2 linked regions of the Anolis sagrei genome follow. The protein of the gene in region 1 interacts with the protein of each later gene in a pairwise test. Links are inferred from orthologs where the notes say so. Each region holds a gene or a part of one and is shown in the gene's direction. Other genes may lie near its edges.

Evidence for each region.
Region 2: the proteins of KIFBP (region 1) and DOK2 interact in a two-hybrid assay, tested with the Homo sapiens proteins (2 studies listed by BioGRID and IntAct). The two-hybrid records come from large-scale screens. The link is inferred for Anolis sagrei from reciprocal best matches to the Homo sapiens genes KIFBP and DOK2.

The regions. Positions count from the first base shown.
Region 1 is NC_090023.1:170,884,555-170,892,627, forward strand, and holds the start of KIFBP (KIF-binding protein), read left to right. Parts: upstream 1-4,951; 5' UTR 4,952-5,010; coding exon 5,011-5,388; intron 5,389-6,740; coding exon 6,741-6,839; intron 6,840-8,073. Other genes in the region: DDX21 (nucleolar RNA helicase 2), read left to right, coding at 62-283. UniProt on the Homo sapiens protein: Activator of KIF1B plus-end-directed microtubule motor activity. Required for organization of axonal microtubules, and axonal outgrowth and maintenance during peripheral and central nervous system development.
Region 2 is NC_090027.1:21,571,221-21,578,482, reverse strand, and holds the start of DOK2 (docking protein 2), read left to right. Parts: upstream 1-4,202; 5' UTR 4,203-4,280; coding exon 4,281-4,346; intron 4,347-5,946; coding exon 5,947-6,246; intron 6,247-6,578; coding exon 6,579-6,687; intron 6,688-7,262. UniProt on the Homo sapiens protein: DOK proteins are enzymatically inert adaptor or scaffolding proteins. They provide a docking platform for the assembly of multimolecular signaling complexes. DOK2 may modulate the cellular proliferation induced by IL-4, as well as IL-2 and IL-3.

The DNA.
Region 1 (8,073 bases):
GCTGCATTATGTGGCAGTATAGATGGGGCCTTGGATGACACGTGCTTTTTGTTTTAATCAGCAAACCTGGCAGGATTCAAGGCGCTGGCAACTCTCTGTGGCAACAGAATTACCTGAGCTTGAAGAATCGCTCAAGGAGCCTGGCCGAGGCGGCGGCGGCAAACCTGACTTCAGGAACAGAAGAGGGGGCGGAGGGGGCTCTAATTTCAGAAATGGAAGACGCGGTGGTGACTCGAACAGGCGTGACAGATTCAGAAACAGGGGCCAAAAACGAAACTTTTGACCGGGCTTTTTTGATCATTTGCAACTGTCAAATATAAAGGATGTTTTAACAACAGTAAAAATTGATTTACACTTTCCTTATGTGTTTTCTTTTTTATTAGTTTGGTTTTGTCTGGTTGCAAAACTCATGTTGACAAATATTAGGATTGGCGTTTCATTGCTGCTGTGTCTTCAAGTCATTTCTGACCTAGCAAGATTTGTTTAGATGAGACAGATAATATGACTTGCATAGTGCATTTCCTGGGCAAGGAGGAATTTGAACCCTGTTATCCAGTCATAATCCGGTGCTCAAGCCATTACACCACACCAGGTCACTAGCATAATAAACCAAGACCGAACCTAGTGCTGCTACAGTTACCACATTTGCTACAAGCTCTTATAGTAATACATTTAGAACAGGGGTCCTCAAACTAAGGCCCGAGGGCCGGATGTGGCCCTCCAAGGTCATTTACCTGGCCCTCACTCAGGGTCAGCCTAAGTCTGAAATGACTTGAAAGCACACAACAACAACAATCCGATCTCATTTGCCAAAAGCAGACTCACACCTCCCACTGAAATGCCAGAAGGTCATGGGGGACCTTGTTGAAAGCCTTACTGAAATCCAGATATGCTACATTCATGGCATTCCCTGCACCTACCCAGTTTGTAACTCTGTTGGAGGTGATTTTTGAGCTGAGGTATTTAATCTGGTGAGTTTGCCGAGGTCTTACATTTATATTGATGGAGAAGTTGTGGGAGGGGTTGCAGACCACATGATCCGCTCTGGAACCAGCAGTGTACAGACTTTTTCGGGACCACACAGATTGCAGACTTGCAAACATTTGCCTGCTGTTTATTATAAGAGATGTTCTTCTGGAAGGGACTGCCTGATGAAGACCAAAGAAGGCACGGAGTTGGCTTTGCTATGTACTGTTTTTGAGATGTTGAGCCAAAGTCCAAGATTTGCAATTTCCTTTTGCACACTTGCACCACCACTATGTACAAAAATAATTGTTGGCCCTCTGTATCTTCTTCCATCCTCTTCTAGCAATTGGTTTATCTATAAGTGTGACGATGTGTAAGTTTTATTTCTTTGGTTATGTGTAGTTTGCATAGTGGTTTAGGGATGGTAAGTATGGGAGATTATGTTTTGTTGGAGATGGTGGCTTGGCGTTAGCTAAGTTGCCGTAGCAACAGGGGCGGAGCCAACTGCCTCTTCAGGAGGCAGCTGTTTTAAAAAGTCAGTCAGTGGCCGGAGAGCTACTGAGAGGACTGAGTCTCTAGGTGGAGATTCAGGAAAAGTGTCTGTAACCGGTGTGCTATAGGAAAGACTGAATCTCAGGGTGGGGATTCAGGGAATCAATTGGTGACCAAAGTGGTTGCAGAGAAGGACCCGGTAGTGAGAGAGCTACAGGGGGTTGTTGATTCTGAATTAAGAATCAAGGTTTGGCTAGGTTTAAGCCTGCTGTGCCTGCTGTGAAACGTTTTGAAGTCTGTGCCTGAGATTACTTATGAAACCTTTCCAATGTAACCATCAAGATTTGTGCCTCTCTTGAAGAAACAGTTAAACATGTTATACTCCTGTTAAAATAAACTTGTTACTGTTCTCCTCAAGCCTTGCCTCATACAATTTCTCCTAAGTTGAACAGCCTGCAATAGTAAAGTCAAGCCAGGAAAGTAAACGCTACGCTATCAAATAAATAAAGCCTTCTGTAATTAACAGTCCCTTTATAAAATAGCTCCTAGGTTGATATTGAGCGTTGCCTGGCTTCCCTCATAGATTAGGTGGCAGTGGGTGTTTTACCACTCGCACCTTCACATTTGGTGGCATTCGGTGGCATTAAAACGGTCTCCTTTACAATAAGCTTGTTGCTTATAGATATTGTATGTATGCTCTGATATGCAACTTTCTTTCCTTGCTCTATGTTTCTCCTGAGAAGTTGTGGGAGGGGCTGCAGACCACATGATCCGCTCTGGAACCAGCAGAGTACAGACTTTTTAGACTTTGGGACCACACAGATTGCAGACATGCAAACACCTGCCTACTGTTTGTTGGAAGAGAGATGTTCTTCTGGAAGAGCCTGACTGATTAAGACTAAAGAATGCACGGAGTTGGCTTTGCTATCAGAAATGACCTGGTGAAACATCTGACCGAAGCACCCACTGGCATCAATGAACGACTCTCAACCCTCCGAACTGAATTTGCCAAAAACCAACAGGCAACCATCATAAGTGCCTATGCACTAACACTAGATGCTGATTAAAACATCAAGGAAAAATTTTACTGTCAGCTGAACACCGTCCTATCAGAGATACCTAAGGAGGACAAAATCATCCTCCTGAGGAATTTTAATGCAAAAGTCGGGCAAGACTTCGACCTGTGGCCAGGGATCATAGAAAAAGACGGGGTTGGAAACAGCAACTCGAATGGCATTGTGTGGAACACAACCTTGTCATCACCAACATGCTCTTCCACCAGAAAAACAAGTTCAAGACATCATGGAAGCACCCCCGGTCAAAGCATTGGCACCTCTTAGACTACGTAATCACACGGGCCAGAAACGGCTGTGACATGCTTCTCATAAGAGCCATGACAGGTGCTGACGACTGCTGGACAGACCACAGGCTAATCCAATCCACGATGGCTATCAAGATGGCCCCCAAGCGCAGACTCCAAGGAAGAAAGACACGGTGCTAAATGAACACCCAAGTCCTTCAGAAGCCCTCCAAACGAGCTCATCTCCAAACAGCACTCAAGAACCATCTACCCACAGAACACCCTGAAAATGTTGAGGAACGTTGGAACAAACTGAAGACCTCCATCATCACAGCCTGCGAAGAAACTACTGGATATCAAACCAGGAAACATCAAGATTGGTTTGACGAAAATGACGAGATCCAACAGCTAACTTGACAAGAAAAGGAAAGCCTTCCAAACATGGCAGAGAGATATCAACTGTGCTACTAAGAAAAAGATCTACGTTAGTGCAAAAGCTGAGGTCCAAAGGACAAGAGAACTCAATAACATCTGGTGGAGAAAGAAGGCTGAAGGAATCCAACACCTGGCAGATACCCATAATGCCAAAAAGAAAAATGGGTTACCCTGAAACTATGGAGACCAAAACCCACTGATTGTGGTAATATGAAAATAACTAAATTAACTCAATGTATATATTACAAATACACATATTAAAAAAAACTGCCACATTCACATTAAGTAGAAACAACTGGTTATGAAAGACGCCCAGCGGCCACATCATGAGAAGAAGGAAGAAGGGAAAGCTTAGAGAAAACAATAGAATTATAGAATCCTAGAGTTGGAAAAAAACCTCATGGGTCATCCAGTCCAACCCCCTGCCAAGAAGCAGGAATATTGCATTCAAAGCACCTCTGACAGATGGCCATCCAGCCTCTGTTTAAAAACCTCCAAAGAAGGAGCCTCCACCACACTCCAGGGCAGAGAGTTCCACTGATGAACAGCTCTCCCAGTCAGGAAGTTCTTCCTCGTGTTCAGGTGGAATCTCCTTTCTTGTAGTTTGAAGCCATTGTTCTGCGTCCTAGTTTCCAGGGAAGCAGAAAACAAGCTTGCTCCCTCCTCCCTGTGGCTTCCTCTCACATATTTATACATGGCTATCATGTCTCCTCTCAGCCTTCTCTTCTTCAGGCTAAACATGCCCAGCTCCTTAAGCTGCTCCTCACAGGGCTTGTTCTCCAGACAATGATGCTGGGGAATATGGAAGGAAAAAGGAAGAGGGGTCGACCAAAGGCAAGATGGATGGATGGGATCCTTGAATAGACTGACTTGACCTTGAAGGAGCTGGGGGTGGTGATGGCCCCACATTCCAGCTTGATATTATCAAGCTGGAATGTGTCCAGAGGAGGGCAACTAGAATGATCAAGGGTCTGGAGAACTGGATAACGAACCCTATGAGGAGCGGCTTAAGGAGCTGGATGGCCATCTGTCAGGGGTGATTTGAATGCAATGTTCCTGCTTCTTGTCAGGGGGTTGGACTGGATGGCCCATGAGGTCTCTTCCAACTCTTTGATTCTAACAGGGAGCTCTGGCTTGGGCTGGTCCATGAGGGCAAGATGGATGGATGGCATCCTTGAACTGACTGGCTTGACCTTGAAGGAGCTGGGGGTGGTGACGGCTGACAGGGAGCACTGGCTTGGGCAAGATGGATGGGATCCTTGAATTGACTTGCTTGACCTTGAAGGCGCTGGGGGTGGTGACAGTCGACAGGGAGCTCTGGCTTGGGCTGGTCCATGAGGGCAAGATGGATGGATGGCATCCTTGAACTGACTGGCTTGACCTTGAAGGAGCTGGGGGTGGTGACGGCTGACAGGGAGCTCTGGCTTGGGCTGGTCCATGAGGGCAAGATGGATGGATGGGATCCTTGAACTGACTAGCTTGGCTTTAAAGGAGCTGGGGGTGGTGACGGCCGACAGGGAGCTCTGGCTTGGGCTGGTCCATGAGGGCAAGATGGATGGATGGGATCCTTGAACTGACTAGCTTGGCTTTAAAGGAGCTGGGGGTGGTGACGGCCGACAGGGAGGCTGGTCCATGAGGTTATGAAGAGTCGGAAACGACTAAACGACTGAACAACAACTGAGAAGCGTGGAAGGCGGCTGTAACGGAGGGAAGGGAGCCAAGAGGACGTTCTCTGGCGCGCTCCCTGACTGCGCATGCGCGCCAGTCGACGGTCGGGTTAGAAACCCTGGAGACGCGCTGAGGGAGAGGCGGACAAAATGGCGGCGCCGGCCGAGTGGGCTTCGCTGTGCGAGAAGTTCCGCAACGCCCTCAACCTCTCCTACGTGGAGTCCAAGAAGGACCCGGAGACCGAGCCGTACCGCTCCAAGTACAGCGCCCGGGAGCTGCTCGAAGGCATCAAGCAGTCGCTGGGCTCGGAGGAGGTTGGCGAGGCCGAGGGCGGCCCTGCGGAGGAGGGCGCCGAGGAAGAGCGCATGCGCGCCGCGCGGCTGGCGGCGGTGGAGTACGAGCTGGGAATGAACCACACAGACACGCAGGAACGCTCGGCCGGAGAGGAGCACCTGGCCAAGTGCCTCCAGCTGCTGGAGCGGCACCGCCTCTCGCGAGACTGCGTCTCCCTCTACATCCAGGCCCAGGTGGGACGGGCGGGGGAGGGAGGGAAGAGCGCGGTGGCGTCACTAAGGGCGCGCGTGGTGACGTCACAGAACAACAGAGGGCTGCATTACAGAGGAGGGGGGAGCATACCCAAAAGAGCTTAAAGCACAGAAATGTATTCTATTTTTATATTTAAACAATCTCTGTAGCTGGATTGAGCCACCATCACTTTTTTCATAAGCACACTTTATATGTGCTAAGATTGAATACCCCTTATCTAAAAGGTTTGTGACCAAAATAATAATCTTCAATATAAATAAAAATGTAATGTTAGTTCGTGCTACCAACAGAACTCAGAAATCACTGGGGGAATTGACACCAAATTTGGACACAAGACACCTAACAACCCAATGTATGTCCGGATTCGTAGTTACTGGGATTTATGTTGTTCATTCATTCAGTCGTCTCCGACTCTTCGTGACCTCATGGACCAGCCCATGCCAGAGCTCTCTGTCGGCCGTCACCACCCCCAGCTCCTTCAAGGTCAGTCCAGTCACTTCAAGGATGCCATCCATCCATCTTGCCCTTGGTCGGCCCCTCTTCCTTTTGCCTTCCACTTTCCCCAGCATAATTGTCTTCTCTAGGCTTTGCTGTCTCCTCATGATGTGGCCAAAGTACTTCAACTTTGTCTCTAGTATCCTTCCCTCCAATGAGCAGTCGGGCTTTATTTCCTGGAGGATGGACTGGTTGGATCTTCTCGCAGTCCAAGGCACTCTCAGAACTTTCCTCCAACACCACAGTTTAAAAGAATCTATCTTCTAGGTTCTAGTAGGTTTTTTCGGGCTATAGGGCCATGTTCTAGAGGCATTTCTCCTGACGTTTCGCCTGCATCTATGGCAAGCATCCTCAGAGGTAGTGAGGTCTGTTGGAAATAGGAAAATGGGTTTATATATCTGTGGAATGACTGGGGTGGGGCAAAGAGCTCTCTGCTGAAGCTAGGTGTGAATGTTTCAGCTGACCACCTTCATTAGCATTTGAAGGCCTGGCTGAGCCTGGGAAAATGTTCTGTTAAGAGGTGTTAAGATGTACCTAGTTGTTTCCTCTCTGCTGTTTTGCTGTAGTAATTTTAGAGTTTTTTAATACTGGTAGCCAGATTTTGTTCATTTTCATGGTCTTCTCCTTTCTTTGTACACAGAGAAGCCATTGAAATCCACAAGCATATGGACAATTTCAACAGAAAGGAGGAGACCCTGAAAATGAACAAAATCTGGCTACCAGTATTAAAAATCTCTAAAATTACAAGTGTAGCTTTCATTTTCCACCCCTTGTAGGATTTCATTTTCTTTGTATGATGTCTTTTAAAATAACAATTTAATCTTTCCTTATTTTGCAGAATAATCTGGGTATCCTCTGGTCAGAAAGAGAGGACATTAAGACAGCACAGCCATATTTGGAATCTGCAGAGGCTTTGTATAACCAGTACATGAAAGAGGTAATATGTTGAAATAATTTGCTTTGAGTCTCTTTGGGGAGATAGAGTGGAATATAAATAAAGCTTTATTATTATTTGTGTTTCTGCAGTGTGTCAATTCTTGGATGTGAGAGTAATTGAATTTCTAAGTTCTGGTGTTGATAGGCTGTGGTCATAACATAAGAAGCAAGTTGTCTGGGTGCATGATTGTTGAATTTTGCAACCTAGATAATATGTTGTGAAACTGAGAGCCAGTATCTTTCACTTAGGAGCCATTATTTTAGAAATTTATAATCGTATCTAGTAAATCTATCTAGCACTGTAATTTCATTTTTATGTTACGTTTCAAAATTGCTACAATTTAAGCAAAGGTGTTAAGCCGAAGCTTGTGTCCAAAGTTATCAGAATTTCTATTTAATTTTACTTATATAATAGTAAAGGTAAAGGCTTTCCCCTGACATTAAGTTCAGTCATGTCCGACTCTGGGGGGTGGTGCTCATCTCCATTTCTAAGCCGAAGAGTCAGCGTTGTCTGTAGACACCTCCAAGGTCATGTGGCCGGCATGACTGCATGGAGCGCCCTTACCTTCCCGCCGGAGCGGTACCTATTAATCTACTCACATTTCCATATTTTCATACTGCTAGGTTGGCAGAAGCTAGGGCTGACAGCAAAAGCTCACGCCGCTCCCCGGAAGAGTATAAATACTCCCAAGTAAATAAGGCTGCATTGCTCCGCTGCTCTTGTACAATTGTTATGCTGTTGGTGCAGAATCAGGGTTACTGCTCTGCTTATGCTAAGATAGATAGCTCTGTTTATAGATTAGTCCACTGACCATATCAACAATAACAGACAAAACCAAAAATACACAGACCAATAGACACTAATCACTATGCTGAAACATGAAAGGCACTGCAGACTACTTCAACCAGAGAAGTCAGCCATAGCAGAGCACCTGATGAACCAACCTGGACACAGCATTTTATTTGAGAACACAGAAATGCTGGACCACTCTCACAACCACCATGTCAGACTACACAGAGAAGCCATTGAAATACACAGGCATGTGGACAATTTCAACAGAAAGGAGGAAACCATGAAAATGAACAAAATCTGGCTACCAGTATTAAAAAACTCTAAAATTGCAACAGCACAACAACAGAGAGGAAGCAGGCAGGGACATCTAATTACCTCTCAACAAAAGATTGCTCCAGGCACTGCCAGGCAATCAAATGCTAATCAAGGTGGTCAGTTGAAA
Region 2 (7,262 bases), on another chromosome or scaffold:
GAACTGGATTATATGAGGCCCCTTCGAAGGGCCCTTCCACGCAGCAATATAACCAAGAATGTCAAGGCAGATAATCCACAACATCTGCTTTGAACTGGGTTATCTGAGTCCACACTGCCATATAATCCACATTATCTGCTTTGAACTGGATTATATGAGGCCCCTTCGAAGGGCCCTTCCACGCAGCAATATAACCAAGAATGTCAAGTCAGATAATCCACAACATCTGTTTTGAACTGGGTTATCTGAGTCCACACTGCCATATAATCCACATTATCTGTTTTGAACTGGGTTATCTGAGTCTACACTGCCATATAATCCACATTATCTGCTTTGAACTGGATTATATGAGGCCCCTTCGAAGGGCCCTTCCACGCAGCAATAAAACCCAGAATGTCAAGGCAGATAATCCACAACATCTGCTTTGAACTGGGTTATCTGAGTCCACACTGCCATATAATCCACTTCAGTGCGCATTATATATATATATATATATATATATATATATAGGTTTCTTCTACCCCGCCCTTCTCACCCCGAGGGGACTCAGAGCGGCTTACAAAGGCACAATTCGATGCCAGCATCACATAACAGTAGTAAAATAAAATAACATCAATTAAACAGTTAAAACAGTTGAACAGTTAAACAACAATTCCTGCATTACAATCCTAAAACCAATAAAACAATACAATCCCAATTACTCCTCATAGACGGTCAGCATTCGCTATCTCATAGTCCAATTTCCAATTCCACATTGTCAGTCCTGTCAGTCCTAGTCGTTTGATTGTCCTTATCTAGTTGTCAGATTGCCCAAAGGCCTGGCCCCACAACCACGTCTTTACTTTCCTCCTGAAGGAGAGGAGGGATGTTGACGCCCTAATTTCTCCCAGGAGTGAGTTCCACAGGTGAGAGGCCACCACCGAGAAGGCCCTGCTCCTCAAAGAGGATGTGGATTTTTATTGCAGTTTAGGCCCCCCTGTGTGGAAGGGGCCTAAACTGCAATAAAAATCCACATCCCCTTTGAACTGGATTATATGAGGCCCCTTCCACTGTCATATAAAATCTACATTATCTGCTCTGAACTGGATTATATGAGGGTCCTTCCACACAGCCATTTAACCCAGAATGTCAAGGCAGCTAATCCACAACATCTGCTTTGAACTGGGTGATCTGAGTCCACACTGCCCTATAATCCACTTCAGTGCGAATTTTATATAGCTGAATTTTATAAGGGGCCTAAACTGCAATAAAAATCCACATCCTCTTTGAACTGGATTATATGAGGCTCCTTCGAAGGGCCCTTCCATGCAGCAATATAACCCAGAATATCAAGGCTGATAATCCACAACATCTGCTTTGAACTGAGTCCACACTGCCATATAATCCATTTCAGTGCTGATTTTATATAACTGTGTGGAAAGGGCCTAAACTGCAATAAAAATCCACATCCTCTTTGAACTGGATTATATGAGGCCCCTTCGAAGGGCCCTTCCACTATCATATAAAATCCACATTATCTGCTCTGAGCTGGATTATATGAGGGTCCTTCCATACAGCCATTTAACCCAGAATGTCAAGGCAGATAATCCATAATATCTATTTTGAGCTGGATTATCTGAGTCCACACTGCCATATAATCCAGTTCAATGTGGATTTTATACAGCTGTGTGGAAGGGGATCTTCCACACAGCTCTCTCTCTCTCTCTCTCTCTCTCTATATATATATATATATCTGTCCTGTCAGCAGTGACTTGAGAAACTGCAAGTTGCTTCTGGTGTAAGAGAATTGGCTGTCTGCAATGACGTTGCCCAGGGGACGCCTAGATGATTTGATGTTTTTATCATCCTTGTGGGAGGCTTTTCTCATGTCCCCGCATGAGGAGCTGGAGTTGATAGAGGGAGCTCATCCGCCACTCCCCGGATTCGAACCTGCAACCTGTCGGTCTTCAGTCCTGCCGGCACAAGGGTTTAACCCACAGCCATATGAAAACCATGTTATTTGCTTTGAACTGGATTAGATGAAACCCCTTCCACATTGCCATGTAAAACTGACATTATCTGCTTTGAACTGAATTATCTGCTATAATCTGGTTTGTATGGCAGCGAGGAAGGGACCTCAGTTGCACTCAGATTTCTGGGGATGGGGTGTGGGGGGATTCTGCACAATGCAGTATCCACTTTTATTCTATTTCACCAAAAACTACAAAAAAATCCAGAGATACTTGGATTTGGCATGACATTGTTAATTGTAAGATGAAGTTTTTTCCTCATATTTATGGAGTTTTTATTTCAATTGGCATATTCTGAGAACTTTAATGCAAAAACATAACTTTCTCAGACTCCTTATTAGATCATCTAACCACTGTCCTGGATCATTTTATCATTGCATAACATACTTCATCAAGAAAAGCAAGCATTCCTTCAAAGTCAATAAAACCAGAGTAAAATATATAGAAGTTGTTTTAAAATGCAGGTGAATGATAGAATAAATTGTTTAAATTCCTTTAAAAACAAAAGACAGAAATCCAGATGTGGGAGGAACAGACCTAATCGTTTCTGAATTTCAGGCCAGTTTGAAACAGATTGGCTCCAAATCAGTCCCAGCAGAAAATGAACCATTCTTCAGAGCACTTGAAGTCTGTGTGCATCCCTCACATGCTTACATTTTCTTCAGTGTTTTACTGCAGCATTTACCACTTCATCACATTTACTAAATTCCACTGAGTGCTACACTTAAAATGTGGAAAACGACTGTGTTCATCACATTAGGTTGGTTTCACGTGTAGGATAGAGCATTCTTTACGTATTTTAAGTGTGGGAGCCAGCATTCTTTTCAAATGGTTCAGGAGGTGGTAGAGAAGTAGATTTTTGGTAACGTTCTGGATGTTTGGCCAGTTCTGTAATGTGATGGCATTCATTGCTCTCAGGTTTAAAATGAAATGTTTCCCCAATTTGTGGGAGGGGTAAATTGTGGAGCCAAAAGTTCCCTTGTTAGGGAAAGTTCTGCCAATTGTTTTTGCTTACCGAGTTTTTACTTTGCCAGAAGAATTTCTTTTTTTAAAATAGCCTGTGAAGTCTTGGGAATCATAGTTTTCCAAGATCCATACCTGTCTCTTGGTGCATTTACAATATGGAATGAATGCCCTTGCACTCCACTTTAAATGACAGAAGAGAAGGCTGAGAGGAGATATGATAGCCATGTATAAATATGTGAGAGGAAGCCACAGGGAGGAGGGAGCAAGCTTGTTTTCTGCTTCCCTGGAGACTAGGACGCGGAACAATGGCTTCAAACTACAAGAGAAGAGATTCCATCTGAACATGAGGAAGAACTTCCTGACTGTGAGAGCCATTCAACAGTGGAACTCTCTGCCCTGGAGTGTGGTGGAGGCTCCTTCTTTGGAAGCTTTTAAACAAAGGCTGGATGGCCATCTGTCAGGGGTGATTTGAATGCAATATTCCTGCTTCTTGGCAGGGGGTTGGACTGGATGGCCCATGAGTTCTCTTCCAACTCTTTGATTCTATGATTCTATTACATGGCTCCATGTGATGGCGTCCTCCTGGGAGTTACAGTTTTCCAAGGTCCCAAGGTCCATACCCTTCTCGGTGCATCTACACTGTGGAATGAATGCAGTTGGACCTTACTTTAAATGCCATGACTCCATGAGATGGTCTTGGGAATTGCAGTTTCCCAAGGTCCATGAACCTTTTCTGGGTGCATGTACACTGTGAAATGAATGCAGTTGGACCCCACTTTAAATGCTATGTCTCTGTGAGATGGAGTCCTCCTGGAAGTTATTGTTTCCTGAGGTCTATACCATTCTTTTGGTGCATTTACACTATGGAATGAATGCTCTTGGACCTCAATTTAAATGCCATTGCTCAGTGTGATTGAGTCCTCCTGGGAGTTGCGGTTTCCTGAGGTCCATCCCTTCTCTGGGTGCATCTACACTATTGAATGAATGCAGTTGGTGCCCATACCATAGCTCCATACTATATAGTCCTGGGATATATAGTTTCCAAAGATCCACACCTTTCTCTGTGGAACTTTATGCTTGTGTTTCTGCAGGGACCAGTTTATGCTGTTTTTGTCCTTTTGGGTGAGGTTACAACCACAGGAAGCTGACTTAGCATGCTTTCTTGAAAGGGTAGAAAAGTGAGCGAGAGATGTTTTTGAGCACCATTGAGCACACAATTGGCAAAAGCAAAGAGCGGGAGAGAAAACTCCTGAGAAGAACTGGAGAAAGAGGCTCTGGACAAGTGGACCTCTTGCCTTGTGCTCAATGATGGAAGAAGCCGTGGTGAAGAAGGGCTTCCTCTACATGTACCAGCAGCAGACCTTTGGGAAGGTAAGGCCCAAAGTTGAGGGTTAAGGCTTTTGTTGGGAGTTTCTTAAAGAGATGATGCATTGGGCTCCATCATCCTTTGCTAAGATAGTCACAAAGTTGTGTTGGCTCAAATTCCATGCCTCATGCTGGAATTCATTTTCTTGTAATTGGAATCCATTGGTGATGTTCTAGGGTTCATCTACACAGTAGAATTAATGCAATGGACACCATTTTGATTGCATGGCTCAAGTTTATGGTATCCTAGAAGCCACTCCTACTTGCCACTTTTTGACAGAGAAAGCTAGAAAAACTTGCAAAACCACAACTCCCAGGATTCCATGTTGTCCTCATTGTCTGAGTATGATGGCCTTCTAAATGTAGTGTCTTGGTATTGGATACGTAGGTGACGGTGGAGCCCTATTCTTGATCTGTATGTTCTTCCATATTGAAGGCATCGGTTTCCAGGTGGAAGGCTGTCCCAGTCAGGGTTGGCTTGATGTGCCTTCTGTGGTGGTATGAAAATCATGTATAATTTACGTTTTACCTGTCCGCACACTGTCTTGCCAGAGAAAGAAAAATATGCCACGCAGATGAAGAACAAGAATTTTACTCTTTGTAATGCAGAGCAATATATATACAATCGTGTGAACAGTTGCATTGACTCACACAATGTCATTTGAGAGAGATTCAAATGGCATTTAGGTGTCCATGTAGGAGATCTTTCAGCAGCTCATGAAGCAAGAATTGAAACTGTCTCCTTGCTAGATCCTGCACAGCTGAAGCCTAAAATGTAACTGTTGCCAAAATTCCCAGGCTCAGCTAGTATTTTGGGCATAGCCCACCCAATTGGCTTTGTGCTCTGCATTTTAAGTTAACACACTGATCAACTGATTTTTTACATGCCCCAATACCTTCTTTCTCTTAGCACATTTCTCCCTTTCACCCTCCATTCATGCCTCTTCAAATTCCACAGCACTGCTGGTCACAGCTGACCTCCAGTTAGAGCATTCAAGGGCCAGGGCTTCCCACTTCCCAATGTCTATGCCACGGTTTTTGAGGTTAGCTTTAAGCCCATCTTTAAATCTCTTTTTCTGCCCACCAACATTCCATTTTCCATTCTTGAGTTGGAAGTATAGTAACTGCTTTGGGGGACAGTAATTGGGCATTCAGACAACATGCCAGTCCAGCGGAGTTGATGGCATAAGAGCATCACTTCAATGCTAGTGGTCTTTGCGCCTTCCAGCACGCTGACATTTGTCTGCCTGTCTTCTCGAGAGATTTGCAGTATTTTTCGTAGGCAATGATGATGGAATCGTTCCAGGAGTTGAGTGACATCTGTAGACAGTTCACATTTCACAGATGTATAGCAGGGTTCGGAGGACAATAGCTTTATATTCCATAGCTCTGAGTCATGGTAAAGTGATGTCAAACTGCATTCATTTTACAGTGTAGATGTATTGCGAGTCTTCGGAGTAATAGAAAACAAGCTCACGCCTCTTCAGATATTTAAAGATAACTTGCATGCCATGTCTTCAGTCTCCTCTCCTCCAGTCTGTGAGATGCTGTGTGAACCAAGGGGCATTTCCATGTAGAAACTTGGTTGACTTTTTTGTCTCCCCAGAAATGGCGGAAGTTCTGGGGCGTCTTGTACCGGGGGAGCAGCTGTGCCTCGTCCCGCCTGGAGCTCCTCGGATGCACGCTGCCTCCATCTGCAGGGAAAACCAAGAAGAAGGAGACCAGTAGCCGGCGCCTGATCCACCTGAGAGACTGTGTCTATGTGGCCGAGACAACCAAAGATGACGGCTGCCTTAAGGAGACCACCCCCTTCCTCCTGGAGACCACTGAGAAGTGCTATCTTCTGGCAGCTGAGAGCACCGAGGCAGCAGCCTGGATCCTGGCACTATGTGAACATGCCTTTAAGGTAAGGTGGCAGCTAAGGGGTCGCTTGGCCCACAGAGAATGGAGGGGTGCAAAAAGGAGAAGGGGCATTCTCTCATAGCCTGGAACCACTGAAGACTGACCTCCAAGTAAAAGTGGGTGAAGCTTTGAAAACAGCAAATGAGATTCACAAGCCACTCAAGTCTACCTGTCCAACCCAGAAGGGCTGCTATTCTCTTATGGGCAGTTCCTCAAAGGTAGCCTCTAAAGAGGTGTTGACAATACAGAGAATGCAGCTGGGCTCTCAGGTCAACTAGCCAGGCCCTGGGCAGCTGTCGACTAATAGGAGACCTTCTTCTTCCCCTTGGTTTCCAGAGGAATAGCGAGTTGGAGAAGGACGGACTGGAAGGCAAGCCTCCCTCTTCCCCTTCCCCTTCTTCCCTTTCCATGGTGGAGAATCCTCTGTACAGCCCAACCTGCAAAGGTAGGAGAGGAGGGGCACCAGCGATTGGGGGTTGGAGGGGAGGGTCATAGAGAGGGAAGGGATGTGGGCCATCTCTCTTCAATATCAGGGGTCACGTATTTGATGTCCTGGACCATTGAGCCTCCACCCCAGTGTTCCAAGACAAGGTGCCACCATTTTGGTCAGTTGCTGAGGTCAAAGACCTGACCGATGAGAGACCTCCAAAAACACCCTGGCATCACCATCCATGGCATCCTTACTGGAGTCCTTCCACCTGGAATGGGGTCTCCATCTTTCCCTACTGCTGTCCCTTTTACCAGCCATTGTTGTCTTTCCCATGGGTATCTCATGATATGTAGGAAGTATTATTCTTGTTATTGTTGTGTGCCTTTGAGTAATTTCAAAATCTCTCCCCTCCCTGCCCCTCTCAAAAGTGTGGTTGCAAAGGCCAGGCGTGAGGTGCTGGCCCTCTTTCCTGCCTGAGCCAAGCAATGCTCTTTGGCCAAAGCAGCCCAGAGACCCATCTTTTGCAGCCGACTTCACTTGACCGCTTCCTGCCTTGTGGCTTTACAAGACGAAGCCTCCTCCTGCAGATA